Linked DNA regions of Caenorhabditis elegans. The protein of the gene in region 2 interacts with the protein of the main gene of each other region in a pairwise test. Each region holds a gene or a part of one and is shown on either strand. Other genes may lie near its edges.

Evidence for each region. Proteins that work in one complex are often made in the same cells at the same time.
Region 1: the proteins of syf-2 (region 2) and mfap-1 interact in a two-hybrid assay, tested with the Caenorhabditis elegans proteins (one study listed by BioGRID).

The regions. Positions count from the first base shown.
Region 1 is NC_003279.8:8,637,980-8,642,195, reverse strand, and holds mfap-1 (Microfibrillar-associated protein 1), read left to right. Parts: upstream 1-1,959; 5' UTR 1,960-1,960; coding exon 1,961-2,118; intron 2,119-2,172; coding exon 2,173-2,962; intron 2,963-3,092; coding exon 3,093-3,365; intron 3,366-3,418; coding exon 3,419-3,598; 3' UTR 3,599-3,682; downstream 3,683-4,216. Other genes in the region: mog-7 (GCF C-terminal domain-containing protein), read right to left, coding at 64-335, 388-542, 587-725, 779-1,516, 1,568-1,669. UniProt on the Caenorhabditis elegans protein: Involved in pre-mRNA splicing.
Region 2 is NC_003281.10:7,160,625-7,163,790, forward strand, and holds syf-2 (Pre-mRNA-splicing factor syf-2), read right to left. Parts: upstream 1,492-3,166; coding exon 1,363-1,491; intron 1,316-1,362; coding exon 964-1,315; intron 916-963; coding exon 692-915; 3' UTR 536-691; downstream 1-535. Other genes in the region: rnp-7 (U1 small nuclear ribonucleoprotein 70 kDa), read right to left, coding at 41-103, 150-332, 377-526; K04G7.1 (Integrase zinc-binding domain-containing protein), read left to right, coding at 2,130-2,186, 2,230-2,339, 2,388-2,618, 2,664-2,988, 3,106-3,166.

The sequences.
Region 1 (4,216 bases), on a different chromosome or scaffold from region 2:
GATATTGATATTGACAGATTTCCCACAGACCTGTCAATTAAACTATTTCAAAAAAATACGTACCTTCTGGCGTCACGTTCTGCTGCTCTTCCAGCGGCCTCACCCATTCTTGCATTTCTTCCCTGCATACATTCTGCATGTTGATCCCTCATGTCTTGTCTTCTACGTACCGAGAGTCTTGAAGTCCTGGATTTCCCACAATCTCTTTTCTTATCGATAATCGAATTAATTTCGCCAACTTTTTCATTCAGACATTCTAAAAGACTACGGGAATACACTCGTAATTCTTGATACATTGTGTATTTGGTACTTTGGTTAGGAAGCTCCATTTCAATCTGAAATTATTAAAAAATGATATATATATATAATTATTGAAATACTTGTTACCTTTGCAATCATTGATTTGTTTTCTTCAATATTTTGCTCCAATTTTCGTTTTTCTTCTTTTCTGAAATTCAATGCTTCATCTCGTTCTTGAATCCGCAATTTTAATTTAGCAAGAATATCTTCAATTTTTACAACTCCTCCGGTATTTGATGGTCCTGAAATTAATTAAAATTATTTGTCTTCAAACAAAATAATATACCAGTAAATTCCGGTTTTCCAATTACTTGAACATCCATATCAAGATCAATATCCATATCCATTGCTGTGTCATCTTCAACAGGAACTGTATGCCCAAATAATTTAGAAGTATTTCGTTTTTCTGTTCGCAGTTGGCCTATCTATAATTTTTAAATTTTCAGATTCACGATCTCTATTACCACAAAAAGCTCACCTCTCTCCGACTAACAGCTTTCCGAATTTGTTGTTTTTCCCATTCCTCATTTTCACTATCATCATCACCTTTTATTCGTTCAGCTTCATCAATATCTCCATTTTCTCGTTCTAAAAATCCTTCTTGTTCTTCTCTACGACGATCTTCTTCTGTTCGAAGTAGCTCACGAGCCGAATAGAATTTATTTGTACACTCTTCATCCGAATCATCATTCTCATCTTCTCGAATCAATCGATTTCGTTCACTTTTAGATTTAAGTTTTTGTGTGTCATCCAAAGGAATATATCCGTCTTGATTTCCCTCTCTTCTGGCTCGTTCTCGGCGTTTTTTTGCTTCGAAAACGGCACGAGAGTCGGGAATACCTTCAAAAGCAGAATTGAATTTATTGGAAACTGATGAAATTGCTTCTGCATCAATATCCAAATTTTCTTCGTATTCGTAGCTCTCCGAATTCGAAATGTGCTTAGCAGATTTGTCACGATATTTGTCAAGGTATTTATGCCGCTCATTTTTCGTCTTTTTGTCTTCTTTTGAGAGTTTCTCCTTTTTCACAATTTTATCAAGCGCTTCCTTACGAATTTTCTCTTCCTTATATAATTTTTCAGCTTCCTCCTCTAGTTTGTGTTGACGTTTCAATTCTTCAACTTTTTTCTTGTCTTTCTTAAGTTTGAACGTCGAATCAGCTCCTTCATCAGCATCGAAACTCATGGCTGGACGAGGCACAGCAGGTTGTTTGACCTTTAAATAAAAATTAAATTAAAAAGAATGTTGAAATTCATTAAAACTCACTTCGATAGCCGAGACTACTTGTTGGTTTTCAGCATCAGGTTCATCCCATCCGTCAGATTTCCGTTGGCGAATAGCACCTTTTGCCTTTGGTTTACGGAACATTCTGAAAAACGTTTTGAGTAAAAAAAAAAGAAAAAAATGAGCGTTTAGCAAGAAAATTTGGCCAAAATTGATATTTGAAAATATTTTCGTAAACGAGACTGTCGTAAGATGTGCTGTTGGGTCTGCATACACCACGTGAGGTACTCTTTATGCATTATAACTTACGAGCAATTTAATGCTTATTATTTTTTTCGAAAAATTCAATTAAAAATTTTACATATTTACTCTTTATTGTTTCTGACTATTTTTTGCCGAAATTAAAAAGGGTTAATTTTAAAAATAACTTTCAGAATGGGAGATTATGTACCTGGATTTGAACAACGCGAAAGCGATAATCGAAGTTTCGGACATTCGCGTCTTCCGACTCTTGGAGCCATTCCAATCAAAAATGAGAAAGGACAAACTGTTATGCAGAAAGTGAAAGTTTCAAGATATGTGGCTGGAAAGGCGTAAGTTTTTTTTCGTTTAATGGTTGAATTAGTCTTTAAAACATTGATTTTCAGACCAGAATATGCTCGTAACTACGACAGTGACAGCAGTGAATCAGACCGAGAGACAGATCGAGATGATGATCGAAGAAGACGTAGACGTCGTGAAAGTAGTGATGAAGAAGATAGAAGACGCCACAGAAGACACGAAGATTATGGTAGACGACGACAGGTGGAGAAGCCAGAAGTTCTTGGAAAAGTAGAGGACGAATCATCTGAAAATGAACAGGAATCTGAAGAAGACGAAGAGAAACAAGAAGAGAGAAGAGAAAGAGCCAGAATGAGAAGATTGGAATTACATGAAAATAACAGAGAAAAAGATGAAGAACAAGAAGACAGTGCTGAATCAGATGAAGAAGATTTTGAAAGAAGACGTCAAATGCTCAGAGATAGAGCTATTAAAAGAGAGGAAGAAATAAAACGAGAAATTAAAGAAGAACTTGAAGAAGATGATGTTGAAGAGGAGGAAGAAGAAGAAAGTAGTGAAGAGGAAGATTCAGATGAAGATGACGATCCAGTTCCAAGATTGAAGCCTATTTTCACAAGAAAGAAGGATCGTATCACTTTGCAAGAAGCCGAGAAGGAGAAAGAAAAAGAAATTCTGAAAAAGATCGAAGACGAAAAAAGAGCTGAAGAACGGAAGAGAGAAAGTGCAAAATTAGTTGAAAAGGTTCTTCAAGAGGAAGAAGCTGCTGAGAAAAGAAAAACAGAAGATCGTGTTGATTTGTCATCTGTTCTAACCGACGATGAAACTGAAAATATGGCATATGAGGCGTGGAAGCTCAGAGAAATGAAACGATTGAAGGTAAATTTTTGCTGCAAAATTTTGAATGTAGATCTTCGAAGTTTTTTTTTTGAGTTTTTTAATAAATTGACATAGAAATTTCTCAAAAAAATTCTCACTATAATATCCGATATCCAATTTTTTTTTGCAGAGAAACCGTGACGAACGTGAAGAAGCCGCACGCGAGAAGGCAGAACTTGACAAGATTCACGCAATGTCCGAGGAAGAACGACTCAAATATCTTCGTTTAAATCCAAAGGTTATCACTAACAAACAGGACAAAGGAAAATACAAGTTCCTTCAAAAATATTTCCATCGTGGAGCTTTCTTCTTGGATGAAGAAGATGAAGTACTCAAGAGAAACTTTGCCGAAGCTACCAACGATGATCAATTTGATAAAACTATTCTGCCGAAAGTTATGCAGGTAAATACTCGTAACTTATTATAGTGATAATTGAACTAAATTATTTATTTCAGGTCAAAAACTTTGGAAAAGCATCTCGAACCAAGTATACGCACTTGACAGAAGAAGATACAACAGATCATCAAGGTGTTTGGGCATCAACGAATCAGTTGAATTCTCAATTCTCCACGAAAAGAGCCGGAGGATCCAGACCAGTTTTTGAGAGACCTGCAACAAAAAAGCGAAAGAACTGAAAAAGCTTGCACATTCCTGAAAATCCCAATTTTTTGTACTTCGATTTCTATTTATTTGTTTTCTAAGAATAAAAAATGTTTCAGAGTAATTGTGCGATTAAAATACACCAGTACAATACGTGTTGCAGTAGCAATTATTCAACGCCAAAGTTCAAAGTTCTCGTCATACCAGCTAATGCAAAGGACAAACACAACTGTGTGTTCGAAACAAAAAAAACCAACAGACGGTTCGTTTCTCCCCTCATTTGGTTTGTGAACCTCTCCTATTCGGACTTTCAAATGTTTTATTGAGAATTCCCATATCGACTCTCGTTTTCATATTTTTCAAATGCATTCAACCTAAACGAGCCGCTCACCATTCGTCCTTGTTTTTTTCTATTCCTTTTCAAGGTTTTCGTCATCATGTTGTGAGGAGTGTGTTGTCGATCGCCACCTTTTCCGATCGGTCGACTCTTGAAAAGTGGTTTTGCGTTTTTAATTAGAAAAGGGTCATTGGCGTGTTTGTATGCATGTTTGCAAAGTGTCCTATTACCGGTACAGAGAGTGTAGATAGTTAGAGAGTGACAGACATCCGGGACCCAATGGGGCGGGACGCGCGGAAGAGACGATTTGTGCCGA
Region 2 (3,166 bases):
AAACAATGAAAGCTTAACTTGGAAGAAACGAGACACTTACCTTTTTAATTTTACCATACGCTTCGAATTCTCGTCTCAACTTGCTTTCAGACGTTTCATAGTTCTGAAAATATAAACTAAAACACATTCTAACATTTAAAAAAACGTGCAATTCGTCCAACGAATAGAGTGCGATATGGATCCTCCGAAGCTCTTGGATTCTCAGCTGGATTCCACGTGGCGATTCCTTGTTCTACTTTATATGCTAACAATTCATCTTTTTGTCGTCTTTTTTCTTCTTTTGCTTCAGCTTTTGTTACTACTGGGATTTTTGCTGGAGTATCTTTCGGATCCTGAAAAAAAAATAGCTTCCAAAATAATAAAGTTACGTTCAAACCTCAAATAATTGAATATATTGAGCAACTCCAGTCATCGGAGCCCTTTTAGCATTTTTGTCCACTAGTAGGTCCTGGCATGGTGGAAGATATTGCACTGGTGGTCGTGCTTCGAAAAGCGCCAGAAGATTGGGAGGTAGAAATGCCGTCATGTCACCTGAAAATAATTTTTATTTATTATTTGAGTTTTGTAGGTACAAAGATTATCGAATAGAAGAGAGAAAATAGTATGGAATGGGAAGATGAAGAACAAAACAAAAGAAGAAAAAAAGTTGAAAAAATGTCTGAAAAAGAAAATAAAAAAGCGATCCTCGGTTTCAGATAGCTGTTCCACGTTCCAAATCGTCTTTGATATCTTCTGTGTACTTTCCATAGTACTTGTCCAGTTTCTTATTGAATTTCTTGTTTTTCTCATTGATGTAATCAATTGGCGCGTCAGGATCATAAAGTCTACGACGATGATATTGTTCTCGTCTTTTAACTTGGCCGTGAACATCTTTAGTGAGCTTATCCATTGCAGCAGTTGTCGGATAGTGATTTCCTGAAAACTCTTTGGTTTTTCTTTGAAATTATGAGTTTTGCTCCTTACCATGAATAAGTGTGTCAGCAGTTGGGTAAAACTGTTCCCCTCCAACGCATTCTCTCATCTTTTTGTAAGAATCAAGATCTGGATCAAGAGCAGCAGTCAGGCGAGTATGTTGACGAAGAGTCATATCTTCGTAAGAAGTAAATCCTTGATCTGGGTTCTTCTTTCTCTTTCTTTTTTGCTCAAGCTTCTCAGTAACATCTGCAGACATCTCTAAACTGCGAACACGTTCATAGTCCAATCCCTTGTCTTCTGCAGCTTTTCGATCTTGTAGCTCTTTAACCTGCCATTGATCTCTTTCCTTTTTTGCTTCGTGGTTTTTTGGAAGTTTGCTGCGACGATCTTCTTCAACGACCTACAATTTTAAATTATAATTGAAAATGTAAACGTTAAAACACTAACCTGTTCGTGATTCTCTTTTCTCGCTCTTTGGCGGAGTTTGTGAAGATCACGGAACCTCTGATTGAAATCCTTCATTTTTGATCCACTGGACGACGGCCCACTGCTGCTCGATTGTGATTCGGAAGACATCTAGGAAAAAGTGTTGAAGAGAAATCCAGAAAGTTGAGAAGAAAAGCTACATTGAAACGGAATACAGAATATTTTGAACATCAGAAAAAGAAGAACCGATATGATTTGAATTCATTTACAATCTATATTTTTTAAACCGATAGTTACATGTTCAAAACATATTAATACTATCCAGCTTTGCGAAACAAAGAAGGCTTTCTTAGAAATAAGCATGGTACTATCGATAAGGAGTTCAAAAATGGAAATAAAAACTTTATTTTCTAGTTGAAAATGCTGAGAATCGAGTCAAAATTGCGAAAATTAATCTGGGCGAGTAGTTCAACACAGCGCACTTGCACAATTTTCTTTTCTCTCCGCTGCGTAGCGGTCGCGTCGCGGTCGTCTAGTCTTGCGCTCGTCACACCGAACGCGTCAATATGTGACGTTTCGGGCCTTTTCTGCTCACTCTGGCGGTAATTTAAACATATTAAAAATATATTTTAATTCAAAAATATTTATAATAGACCATTTAAAAGTACTCAACATTATTCCAATTGTTCGTTCTTGTTGTTTTGGGCACTTTGAGTTTTTTCTTAAAATTTTAATTTAAATTTCAGCTGATGATGTTAATGAACAGTACTGAGATAGTTGACGACAACATGGTAGTCGAAGGATATGAGGAAATTGCAGTGGATGACGATATGAATGATATGAGAGTGAGTGTGCTTGAATCATTAATTTTCTTTATTCAAATTTAAGGAAATGGTTGCAAATGATGAAGATGACAGTATTCACTATGAAGCCCATGATGGAAGCGAATATGGTGGAATGCCAATTGACCAATATCAAGATATTGTTATGTTCAAAACGTAAAAAAAATTTTTCCTGAGTAATATAAATTTAAAGCATTATTCCAGAACGGACCAAGTTCCTGCAAGTGTCTCCTCTCGTCTTGATCGTAGTGCGCCGAGTCATTGGAGAGCTCGTTGTAAATGTTTTTCAATGGCGGACGATAGGGAAACTCTTTTGTATTACAATCCCGAGAAGTCTGCGAATACTATTCCAAAAGTAGTAGTGAAGAAAGGAGAAGTTCAAAAAGTCCTTGAGAGAATTCACGAACTTATTGGTCATCTTGGGCAGAAAAGAACGTAAGTAAAACTACTATAATAATAGCTGACAATTGTTACTTATAGGCAGATGGTCGTGCTTCGGAAACTCTACTGGCGGTCGGTTCGACAAGATGTTAAAACATTTATTGCCTCTTGTGATTTTTGTACAGCAAAGAAAATACAAGGCAGAAAAATAACAAAAGCACCTGTGGATATTACCTCTGAGCATTTTGATATTTCCGTGCTTGTTAGAGATTCTTCCAGCGGAAATGATCGATTTGAGTTTCAATTGGTGGGATACAATGAGGATGAAGTTCGCGAAGCATCATTTACAAGGATGACATCATATACATTCAAAGAAACTGAGCATGCATTCAGAAGCAGATACAGTAACCATCAGCAGACTGGGGTACGTTAAGAATCTGAGATTCTCTACAACTCTAAGCAAAAATCGTTTTAAATTTACTTTAATTATTGCCAAATTCACAATATTTGCATTTTCAAATTTTTAAAAAATATTTTGCAGCCGCCAACGTTCCGTCGACAACCATATGTGAAGAAACACAAAAATCAATCAGTTGGATATC